3 linked regions of the Rattus norvegicus genome follow. The protein of the gene in region 2 interacts with the protein of the main gene of each other region in a biochemical or structural test. Links are inferred from orthologs where the notes say so. Each region holds a gene or a part of one and is shown on either strand. Other genes may lie near its edges. The genes, in order: Noxa1, Noxo1 and Cyba.

Region 1 (4,443 bases), on a different chromosome or scaffold from region 2:
CTGACAGGGGACCATGCCTACAGCCCCAAACCCTTCCAACTGTTCTGTGCAGTCCTTTTCTGCCTCTCAGGCCCTAACCTTATGAGGCCTTCATTTATCTCTGGACTTCCAACTGTGGTTGAAATCCCTGTCCCTCACTAGATATTCCACTCCCCCAGTCACCACTCCTGGACACTGGAGCCTGCAGCCCTGATTATCTCCTCCGTTCCTCCTCTTAGAGAGCTGGGTGGCCAGGCACATCTTGGGATAAGCCCTGGTTTTCACATTGGCACATTGACTCTAAATGCAGTGATCTTACTACTAGAGACATAAGGAGAGAACCGGAATGCTGAGAAAACACTGTAAATCTTTATAGGGACAGGAAACATGGGGCGGGGGGTGCTAACCAGAGCATCCTCACCCAGGCTGGAGGGGATCCAGAGGACAGACAGCAGGAAGTAGGAGCAAGCCTGGGTTTGCAGAGACAAAGAACCGTTTATTAAGGAACGGGGGATACTGCCGTGTTCTCACCTCTGCAGCTGGAAATTGGCCACTCCCCGCTGGAGGAAGCCAACAGCCATGCAGGTGTCCTTGGTCACTGCTTGGTCAAATGCCTAGGGACAAAAATGTGTGTGAACACCAAACCCAGTAACCTAGGGACTCAAAGCCACAAACACAAAGGGAAACGTATCAACAGATAAGGGCTGTTGCACAGTTAGAGCCTGGAGCCTGTGTTCTTGCATGGATTTCTCAGCTGCCCCAAGCACCTCACAACAGGCTCAGGGCACACCACCAAGGCAGAGAAACCCAATCTGTCCACCAGGAGCACAGAGCTTGAAGAAAACGCCCCAAAACGTCAGTAACAGTCATCTCTGAGAGACAGGACTGTGTAAATTTGAGGCTTTCCAAAATCTCTTTGCAGGGGCTAAAGAGGGCTGGTCTTCCAGAGGTCCTGAGTTCAATTCCCAGCGAGCTCATCTCACAAGCATCTGTAATGGGAGAATCCCCACCCACAAAACACATTAATAACTGTTTTAAGATCTCTCTTGGTAGGTCACACGGAGTGCACACTAGGTGTGTACTAGAGTCAGAGCCTAGAAGCCTCTGTGCACAGGAACTGCTGCACTTTCCTCATGCCATGCCTGGCCAGGTAGAGGGCTGGCTGGGAGCTGGGGCTGACTTTGAAGCTTTTCCATGCCACAGTCAGCCTGGAAACGCCATGGCTGCTCGTAGTAGATTCACCCAGCACCTCAGGCTTCACACCGACAGGCCCAAGTGCAGCCTTCTCAGACCTGCACACTTGGATTTCCTTATTGCAGTTATTCCACCAACTTCTTACGTTTCCGGGTCCAGCCGGTGTGCCTACGCTGTACACACAGACGTTTTATTGACTCAAGGCAGTGCCCGTTCTTCTTGTGGTAGAGCGTTTCAAACTCCTGTCTTGTGAGGAGGTGAGCGTGTGACTCACCGTCACCACCTGGTAACCGATCATTACATCCCCTTTCCTGGACAAGAACCTTTTGTTGTTCCGTTTGGCTTTTAAGACAGAATTTCTCTGTGTAGCCCTGGAATTCACTTTGTAGCCTAGGCTGGCCTCAACTCTGTTGCTTCAGACTCAGAGATCTGCCTGCCTCTGTCTCCAGAGTGCTGGGATTAAAGGCAGGCATCACCATGCGTGGCTCAAACAAAACCCTTTTAATGAAGAAACAGTAAGGACAGATGAATATGGAAGAGGTTGGCAAGGTGGCTCAGTGGAAGGACACTTGCCATCATGCCTAACGACCTCAGTTTGATCACTAGATCCCACACGGGGCAAAGAGAAAACAGACAAGTTTTCTCCTGATTTACACACACACGCACACACACACACACACACACACACGTGTTTTAATTAATTAATTAATTAATTAAAACTCTAAGAAAGAAATGATAAAGAGACTATCGCCACGCAGCTGTCTTCCTACTCTCACCCTTGTGCTCCGGTGTCTTTCCTTCTCACCTGTGTGGTGTTCACGTAGGTCTGCACTGTGGTCAGGGTGCTGAGGGTTTCTATCACACACCCAGGAATGGCTAGAACTTTGATGACCGTGAAGTGGGAAGGCAGTGCTGCCCCCTCTACAGTGTGCTCCCCTGAGTAGGTCTGCTTTGAGAAGCAGGTGGGAGGCATGCGAGTGCTCAGAGGCGGGAAGACAGACTGTGTGACACCGACTTATCACACGCATCTGCTAAAATCTGTGCCCCCCCCAACCCCCAACACACACTTTCCGTCCCACACTCACCTTCCGAGAAAGAGCAGAGCCCCTGCCTGCTCTGACCCAGCCACTGCCAGCCTTTGAGTATGCCCCTCCCTCAGTCCTGAGCACCTGAGCCTGGGCATGCCAGACTTGGTACAGAACTGCCACATTTAGCTTATGTGGCTATGGCGACTGAAGATACCCTGTGTCCCATTCTGGTCTCAACCAAGAGAGGGGTCTCCTAACCACAAAGCTCCAACCTGCCTCAGGCAGTCAGTAAGACAGAAAGAACATTAGTGAAACAACCTCTAGGAGAACGGCAGGGTAAAGGGCAAGGATTCCTCCCCTTTCTAGGTGGACTGTGAGGTGCAGAAGAGCGTGTTTTTCCTGGGTGCTCATTGGAAGATAAGGTGTCACGTCTGCAGTCACATCTTCATTTACATTCCGCTATAGGCCTCCACTAAGGATTGGGGTGCGGGATCTGTTTTCCAGTCCTGGGGCGCTTACCCTCAGCGCAGCCTCGGGATCCCCTGCCATCAGGTGCACGCAGCCCATGTTGAAGTACATCTTAGCCAGCGGCTCCCGGACATCTGAAAAGAAGCACAGTGCAGAGTCCCAGTCTTCGCGTGCTACGGCCAGTACGCCCCGGTGCCAGTCCCGTATCTGATCCCCTAGAGAGCTCATGGAGTGAGGACGCCTGCTTTGCGGCGAAGGAAGTTAGCGATTCTAGCTGAAGCGCGCGGGACAGGAAGAGTGTGCCCCACAGAAACTGGGGGACCGTGGGCCAGGGGCAGGGCCAGGGGCAAGGGGACCAGGACAACAACGAGAAGCAGCTGGTAGCAAGCCAACTGGAGTTGTGACAATCTGTCCTTGATACTGAGTAGATGGTCCAAGGCCGAGGCCCCTCTCTCACGCCCCGCCTTGAACCACTTAGCCTGAGAAGCGGTCTTCGATTACTTAGCCATGCCCCTTCATCCCAGGCAGCTCAGCGCCAATGAGGCCACAGTCATCTCCATATGGACACGCCCTCTCCACCTGTCCCGCCTCCTAGTTCTTGCCTCCTTCCCTGTTGGCCACACACCTTACTCAAGCCAAGCCCACTCCATCTTTTTCCCAGCAAGCTCAGAACTTAATTGGGCCGTGGCTGGGCCCCTCGGCGTCTTTTACGCCAATTAGCAGAGTGTTTAGGGGAAAACCGGGCGGAAGTGCTGCAGCAGCCGGGCCAAGGTTCCGGGACCAGTGTGGACCGTGCACAGCAGAGCTCCCTGCCCCAGAAGTCTGCGTCTGTCAGGCTAGGTGGGCAGCCTGATGGAGAAACAACAGCTCAAGGGCCGGTAGAGCTCGACCTCCGGCCCCGCCTCTTCGAAAGTGACCGGGTGGGCTTGGAGACTCCGGAGCTACAAGCTGAGCAGGACTGGATGCCATGTGACTAGCCAGAGCCCTCGGAAGCGGGGTTGAGGCTTTGGAGTCCATGGTGGTGCAGCCCACGAGGGCTTTCTCCACTAGTGGGCGCTGGCCTGGCTGCCCCTCTCCCTTGGGAGTGTGGCCACTGGGACTTAGTCTTCTACGCTGCTCTCCAGATGGAGAAAAACTAGCCCTTGGACAGGATTGCATCTTGTATAGATGGGTGGGGCGGCCCAATATAGACTCTGCACGACACCAGGAAGTTGATGTCCACTTTCATAATCCTGCTTGGATGGGGTCCCCCACAGTATGGGAGTCATATGCCTTACCCAAAGATGCTGATACAAACGTTAATCTCTTCTGAACTTTTCTCCCGGACACTTGGAGCACCATGGCTTGACCAGACCAGCTGTTGAAATTAAGCACCACAACACCCAATCCAAGCAGCTAGGCTCAGCCGAATCGCCGGCCCATCACCCTTCCCTGCCGGGTTGTTGATCTCCTGTGCTCAGAGTCACAGTTGATTGTCTTTCCTGTGCGACTCTGGCCAGCTAAGTTTCCATGCCTTCATGCGTGTCCTACCCAGGCTTTTTATGAGAGCTGAATGAGCTCTCACGGTGTCAGCAAACTGCTGGTTTGTCACCCTGAGCGGGGGTTGGGGGGTGGGGTTGGGGCGGCTCTGTCTCCCTTGGCATTTCTCTGTGAGCTGAGTTTCCTTAAACTGCTGCCTGGAGTGCATGAGTGTTGCTAACCTGCCTTCTTTAAGTCCTAGTGCAGCCATTCTACCTCAATACCCAGATCCCGAGTTGTCTCCATGCAGGCTGGG
Region 2 (4,443 bases):
AGGGGCTGGCCTGGTGGGGAGGGAGATCAGAACGGGGTTAACGATCATCCCGTTACCTACAGAGGCCCTGCTGCGCTTCTGTATCACGTGGAACACGAATTCCAGACATTGCCACGAAGCCCAGGCTGTGCTTGGTGTGCTGCTGCGCCATGAGGCTCCTGAGGAGCTGCTGGCCTATGACGGTGTGCGGGGTGCACTGGAGGCCTTGCTGCCCTACACTGGTACGTGACATGGCCCTGGGTCCAGGGATGCTCCTGGCGGGTTCACATTCAGCCCCCACCCAGCCCGAACCTCCTTTGTCGTCCTCTAGAGCGGCACTTTCAGAGGCTCAGCAGGACCCTGCAAGCAGCCACCTTCTTGGACTTCCTATGGCACAACATGAAGCTCTCCCCACTCCCTGCTGCGCCCCCAGCCCTGTGAAACACATAAAAGCTGCACTTTTCTATCTTGGCTTCTTGTGTGAATCTGATCAATCTCCCAAAATCCTTGGCCAACCGAGGCGTTATCTATAGAAATTCAAGCCCACCCCTGCCCCAGTCCCTCAGTGCACAGTGAGATTTGGGTGAAGTCATTCCAGTTTTATTTAGAGGAAATAGAAAGTTGACTGGCCCATGGCCCTGCCAGTCATAGAGCCACACCCTCGTCCCTGCTTTGCTTGAGGTTGGCTTTGACAGTACAGCCTCTCTGCAGGGCCATACAAATCCTCAAGGGGGAACTTGGGTCCGTTGTTCCTGTCCCACTGCCCTGCGGGTGATGGAGCAGCATCTGCTCTGGATGGCACTCATACAGGGGCGAGTTGGTACTACAGGGGGAACAGTCCTGCCCTCAGTCACCTTGTCTGCCCCACCACTGTCTGGGAGCCCTGGCCTGCCCAGGAGGGAACCCAGCCCTTCAGGTTGCAGCAACACTGCAGGGAGCAGGCCTGTCTGGCCATTATACCTGCAGGAAGAGCAGGGCTTGGTTAAGGATTTACCACCAGGCAGGGCCTGCCACTGCCCCACCACACAGAGACACACACACCTCACTGTACCTGCACAGCCACCAGCCTCGGTCTGAGGTTTCCAGCACATGTACACGTGCTCCTGAGGGCACGGATAGCTCATCAGGGCGACTGCCCTCATAGGCCTGGGTAGCACAGAACTGCCTCCCTAGGATAGGTATTTGGGGATCATGGTAGAACTGCAAGTCCAGGGACCTCGCCTTTTTCTGGGATTGCCTCTAGGCACCCTGAACTGCTCTGAAACCCACTTCAGCTTTCTAAGGCTCAAAGCAGCACCCACGTGCCTAGTGCCCCACTACCACCTCCCTCCTGGGCATGGTCTCTGCCTTGCCAAAAGGTCCATTGATAGCAGTGAGTTTATAGTAGGGATTAGCTCATACCACTTCCTTGAACAGCCATGCCCGACTCCTGGCCTTGGCCTGTTGCTATCTCCTCCAGGTAGGGAGCTGGAAACCAGGCTGTCTGCTGGTCCTTGTTCTCCACCAGCCACCAGCCTGTTTAGGAGGCCAGGAAAGGGCTCAGATGCCTAAGTCTGTGTCCATTTTGATCAGAGAGGAAACCCCCAGGTTCTTAACAGTGGCCTTACCTGAAGGATGCCGTAGTAATATGTCCAGAATTTCTTTAGCCTGAGTGTGGAAAGGTCTGTCTTTTGTGTCAAGAGTGTGGAATGGCTGTAAGCAGCGCATGCTCTGAGCCTCCAGGCTATGAATGGCAAGGCTGCCTATAGGTTGGGATAAGGGCTCCTCTGGGGTGGGCAGGATCACCAGGCTGGGTAGTACAGCCAGCACATGTAAGAAATAAGTAGGAAAGATGGAGATCCCCCTTTCCCCACATATATATAGGTCAGCCCAGCCTTCTCACCTGCCCTTCCCACAAGTGCATGGGCTAGGAGTAGGGCGAAGGTTAATCACCTGCCAGGAGGCAGCATGGGCTCCAGATCCAGAGGTTTGGGTGCAAAGAAGCTATTGAGTGTTGAGCTCGTCACTATGTGCTGTGAGGTTGCCAGCAGTGACCGTACATAGGTTTCCAGCAGCCGCAAACGTAACAGGCCTCGGCCAGTATGTCCCCGACGTGTCAACAATGGAGCATCTGCCCGGGTATCACAAGCACATACTGTGGGACCCCACTCACCCACACTTGCCTTACCATCCCATGACTCCTGCAGGCCTGACCAGGAAGCTTGGGAAGAACTCGTTCAGATCTCTGAAGCAGGCCTGCCTCCACTGGGAAGATTTTCTTAAGGGTCTTCTGATGGGGAAAAGCCTGTGTTAGTCTCTGAAAGTGGAGAGAATCCCCCAGGGAGGGAAGGGTCCCTAGAAGAGCTCCTACAGGCAGAAAGGAGTATGTAGAGGATGTTGGATGGGGGAAGATACCATTGAAATACAGTCCCCCGGGGCTGGGGATTTAGCTCAGTGGTAGAGCGCTTACCTAGGAAGCGCAAGGCCCTGGGTTCGGTCCCCAGCTCCGAAAAAAAGAACCAAAAAAAAAAAAAAAAAAAAATGAAATACAGTCCCCCAGTGTTCCTTACCTGGAGCTGCCTAAACTCCTCCCAGCTCCTGCGAGCAAAGGTGTCACTGTTGTCTGACCAGCACACAGAGAAGGCAAACGTCTGTGTGAGGAATGGTAGAGGCGACATCTCCTTCAACTTTGCCAGCTCCCTTTTGCCTCTTTGGAGACAATCGGGGCAGGGGTGAGGGACTGGGGCAGTATGGTCTACCTGGAGCCGTTCCATCTGCACCAGGGCTACAGCATGGGCTGATACTGGGTGTCTTGGACTTGCCATGATTATGAATGGCCTCCCACCGGGTGCTTGAAGGAGTTCCGAGCATCCGGAAGAAGTGAAGTGGAATTCCCCAACACTGCCCTAAGTGGAGTCCCTGCAAAGCATTCACACTCCAGGAAACAGTTTAGTTTCCTGGTTCTTCAAACACAGAAAAGGAGAGGATTCATCACAGGAAGACTGCCAAGAGGAGGGGCAAACCTGGGCAGGTGGAAGGAAGAAAGGAAGTCCTTTGTACACGGCTGGGCTGTTCTGAAACAACTACCTGGGGCTTCTTTCTTTCCTTAGCCCAGGGAAGAAAAGCTATAGGGAGTTCCATCATCAAAGTGTCTGCCATCTCAACTTCACCTGCTCCTCGGCCTCTTCCCCCCACCCTGCTGTGACCTCCTGCCAGGTAACAGCTTGCTCTTTGAATTCGCCCCAGGCTACAGTACAGTATAGTACAGCACCAACAGACAATTTGAATCAATTACTGGGTCCTTTTTTGGTTGCTTTGTTTTTTGTTTTTTGTTTTTAAACTTCTTTTTTTTTTTCTTTTTTCTTTTTTTCCGGAGTTGGGGACCGAACCCAGGGCTTTGCGCTTGCTAGGCAAGCGCTCTACCACTGAGCAAAACCCCAACCCCTGTTTTGTTTTTTGTTTTGCTGACTTTTGGTTGTTTTTGTTTTGTTTTGTTTTTCTAAGATTTTTTTCAAGGATTTATTTATTATATGTAAGTACAATGTAGCTGTCTTAAGGCATACCAGAAGAAGGCACCAGATCTCATTACAGATGGTTGTGAGCCACCATGTGGTTGCTGGGATTTGAACTCAGGACCTCTAGGAAGAGCTGTCAGTGCTCTTACCCACTAAGCCATCTCTCCAGCCCCCTGTTTGTTTGTTTTTTGAGACAGGGTTTTGCTAAATTGCCAAAGTTAGGATATAACTGCCTTGGGAGTTGGGGATTTAGCTCAGTGGTAGAGTGCTTGCCTAGCAAGCACAAGGCCCTGGGTTCAGTCCTCAGCTCTGGAGAGAAAAAAAAAAAAAAAAGGATATGACTGCCTTAGGCTCCCTAGCACCCAGCACTCAGACCTCTGTCCTAGGTCATGACCTCCTTACTTGGCCAAGTCTTGACATTGCCTTTAACAATTTACATACTGGCTTTTTCAGAAATGTCGGAAACCAGAAGAGCGAAGCTGGCAAAGGAGTGAGTGCCTACCACTAGAGACCTAGAGGAATTGTGAGCCCCTCTCACTACCCAACCCTAGATGCTCTCTAGTCTACATAGCCACTGCTTCCTCTCAGATGCACACGAAGGAGCCCTCAACTCTGGAGCTAGAAAGAGGTTCCTCCCTGTCTTTTTAAGATTCTGCTCTCAGGGGCTGGAGAGATGATGGCTTAGGGGTTAAGAGTACTGACTACTCTTCCAGAGGTCCTGAGTTCAATTCCTAACTGGTCCTGAGTTCAATTCCTAGCAACCACATGGTGGCTCACAACTATCTGTAATGGGATCCAATGCCCTCTTCTGGTGTGTCTGAAACAGTGTACCCATATAAGTAAAATAAATCTTAAAAAAAAATCTGCTCTCAGCAGGGAGTGTTGGCACACACCTTTAATCTCAGCACTCCTTTACTTTCAGCAAGATTCCTGAGTTGGGGGTTGGGGATTTAGCTCAGTGGTAGAGCGC
Region 3 (2,929 bases), on a different chromosome or scaffold from region 2:
TCTATCTATCTATCTATCTATCTATCTATCTATCTATCTATCTATCTGCTGTGTATATATATACATGTGTATATATATATATATGTTGTGTATATGTATATATATATACACACACACACATATATTTAGTCTGAGTAAAACTTACTGCAAACTTCTAGAATAGAAAGAAAAAATTTTTTTTAATTTTTGCTTATTGTTTGAAATAGTATTGACCTGGAATCTGTGATTCTTCTAGCTTAGCCTCAGGGGTGTGGAGGTTGCAGACATGACCACACCTAGCTAAGAAAACAATACATTGGAAGAGCAGGCGGTTCTCTTAAACACTGAGCCATCTCTCCAGCTCTTTCGTAACCGACATCTTCAGATGCTCCTTACGCCAGGTGCATCACGGTCTTCCGAAGCCTACAACAGACTCCTAGCTTTTATTTATCCGTTTGTTTTGAGACAGGGTTTCAGGTTGGTCTCAGGTTCACTCTGTAGCAGAAGATGACTTTGAATTCCTGGTCCTCTCACAGCCATCTCCCAAGTACTAGGATTTCAGGGACTCGTGTATCCCAGCCTGTCCTGGCGCGTACTATGTAAGGGAGGCTGGCCTTGAACTCATGTCTTCCTGCCTCCACCTTCCAAGTGTTGAGGTTACCTACCAGTCCACCATGTCCAGTTTATGCAGTCCTGGGGGTTGCATTGAGAGCTTCGTGCACGCTAGGTAAGCACCCCACCAACCTAGCCACTTCTCTAGCCTTCACTGGTTCGTTTGAGCCACAATCACTTGTAGCCCAGGCTGTTCTCAAACTCATGGGGTTAGCCTTGAACTCTGACCATCTTGCCTCTACCTCCCCAGTACTCCGATTATAGTTGTTCACCACGGTGCTAAGATAGTAAGCCTATGGAGGTCAAAGGGCAACTTACGGAGTCGTTCTCTCCTGATGGATCCCGTCGGGATGAACTCGGGTCTTCGGGCTTGGTGGTGGCAAGTGCCTTTCCTCGCTCCCTCATCTTGCCAATTCCACAAAATACCTTCCATGCACTCTTACGATTGGTCAAGGAAAGTGTAAAGGCACAATCACATTACTTTACCCATCGCCCTAGATCAGAAGCCCTCAAAATCCCAAAGACGGGAGAAGCACATCAGTAAATCGTGGTTGATTTCATATACTAGAACACGAGATCGATTTTTAAAAGTTAGTTAAGAAGCAGGGTGTGGTGGTCCCTGCCTGCAACCCAAGCACACGGGGGAGGGAGACCAGGAGTTCCAGACCATCCGGTATCGACAGCAAAACCAGCATGAGCCACTGGTGATTTACAGAGCGCATCACTTCAACGTCATCTGAGCCAAAGACACAGATACAAGAAAGAACTTCCTGAAATGAGGGAAGTTGTGAGTTGTGTGGTCCCATGGGGGAACCAAGCCTAACTCGTGTGTATTCTACTGTAAGGAAGTCTTGGATGGGCTGGCCGAGACATTAGTGGGGGTGAGGGTAGCTCGATACTGCAGGAATGTGCCCCTCCCCCTCCCCTCCCCCCGTCCCCCTCCCCACCGCCCCCAAACAGGGTTTCTCTGTTGTTCTGTCTATCCTAGAAGTTCCTCTGTAGACCAGGCTGGCCTCCAACTCACAGAGACCTGCCTGCCTCTGCCTCCTGAGTGCTGGGACTGAAGGTGTGTGCCACCAGCGCCCAGCTATTACCCACCTCCCACCCCCTACCCCCGACGGGGATGGAACTCAGTATGTACTACGTACAGAAGGACCAGGAAGTAACAGCGTAGCTGAGAAGAGTTGACATTCCAACCCGAGTGTAGCACCAACAGCTAATGGAGTCCCGCTTGCTGTGGCCACCTCCCCGAGTGTCCTCTCTGTCCCTGAACCCCATGCCGTACAGTGCCCTGCTCCAGTAGGCAGAGAGTTGGAGGTGGTCCCAAGTCCAGGGGCAAGGTCAAGCTGGCTCACTCCTGCAGCAGGTGGTGAGTCCTAACCACCACCCTCCATCTTTAGTCCTCATCACAGGGGGCATCGTGGCTACTGCGGGACGCTTCACGCAGTGGTACTTTGGTGCTTACTCTATGTATCCTTCTACTGGGGGCCAGGAGGGTGAGGTGATGAGAGCGCTTCCAGGACTAGTGTGTGAATTTACAAGAGCACTACACATAAGCTGTTCCGCCACAGCCTCCGGAAGCAGGGCCAGCCCTGTCTGCAGTTTTAGAAGCCATGGCCCAGGGCTGGACAGCCACTTCCAAAGGTCACAGAGGGTGGGGTTTGGGCAAACATGGAGCTGAGGCCCAAGATCCCAAGGTTTGGACTGGAGTACATCGCCTCCGCCCCACCTTGCTGGACAGTGCCTGAGAACTGAACGGGGTGGAGGGTAGGTATGGGGCAGGAGCTGTGCCTCGACTTACCTGTAGGCAGTAGTACACCCTGGCCTAGGCCTAGCGTGGCTTTCCTTAACCTCACCTCAGTGTTGCAGGAGTGCTCATCTGTCTGCTGGAGTACCCCCGGGGAAAGAGGAAAAAGGGCTCCACCATGGAGCGGTGGTAAGTCACTCCTACCTGGGGACCTGCCCCCACAGAGCCAACTGACTTGTCCAGAGCTTCCAGCCCAAGGCCTCATGTGCCCAGGAGGAAAAGGACCTAGAACCCTGGAAGGGGGCGGATAAGGAGTGACCAGGGATTCTGAGTGCGGTTGGTGCTGACCCTCTGATCTTTTGTCTTCCCGCTGTCTAGTGGACAGAAGTACCTGACCGCTGTGGTGAAGCTGTTCGGGCCCCTCACCAGAAATTACTACGTCCGGGCTGTCCTCCACTTACTGTGAGTCTCTCTGCCCATCCCCCGGGGAACAGGAGACTAGAAAAACACCTCATGGGTCTGTAACATCGTCCACCCAAGCCCCCTTCTTTTTTTTTTTTTTTTGGTTCTGTTTTTGGAGCCGGGTCCCGA

Evidence for each region.
Region 1: the proteins of Noxo1 (region 2) and Noxa1 form a complex in vitro, tested with the Homo sapiens proteins (2 studies listed by IntAct). The link is inferred for Rattus norvegicus from reciprocal best matches to the Homo sapiens genes NOXO1 and NOXA1.
Region 3: the proteins of Noxo1 (region 2) and Cyba form a complex in vitro, tested with the Homo sapiens proteins (3 studies listed by IntAct). The link is inferred for Rattus norvegicus from reciprocal best matches to the Homo sapiens genes NOXO1 and CYBA.

What each region holds. Positions count from the first base shown.
Region 1 is NC_086021.1:28,300,927-28,305,369, forward strand, and holds the start of Noxa1 (NADPH oxidase activator 1), read right to left. Parts: upstream 2,898-4,443; coding exon 2,721-2,897; intron 594-2,720; coding exon 511-593; intron 1-510.
Region 2 is NC_086028.1:14,226,662-14,231,104, reverse strand, and holds Noxo1 (NADPH oxidase organizer 1), read right to left. Parts: upstream 2,901-4,443; 5' UTR 2,784-2,900; coding exon 2,718-2,783; coding exon of another isoform or gene 2,610-2,717; coding exon 2,529-2,609; intron 2,249-2,528; coding exon 2,173-2,248; intron 2,090-2,172; coding exon 1,912-2,089; intron 1,769-1,911; coding exon 1,587-1,768; intron 1,495-1,586; coding exon 1,381-1,494; intron 1,149-1,380; coding exon 1,031-1,148; coding exon of another isoform or gene 1,021-1,030; intron 940-1,020; coding exon 705-939; 3' UTR 564-704; downstream 1-563. Other genes in the region: Tbl3 (transducin beta-like protein 3), read left to right, coding at 63-221, 311-420. UniProt on the Homo sapiens protein: Constitutively potentiates the superoxide-generating activity of NOX1 and NOX3 and is required for the biogenesis of otoconia/otolith, which are crystalline structures of the inner ear involved in the perception of gravity.
Region 3 is NC_086037.1:67,398,341-67,401,269, reverse strand, and holds part of Cyba (cytochrome b-245 light chain), read left to right. Parts: intron 1-1,991; coding exon 1,992-2,061; intron 2,062-2,452; coding exon 2,453-2,527; intron 2,528-2,716; coding exon 2,717-2,800; intron 2,801-2,929. UniProt on the Homo sapiens protein: Subunit of NADPH oxidase complexes that is required for the NADPH oxidase activity that generates, in various cell types, superoxide from molecular oxygen utilizing NADPH as an electron donor.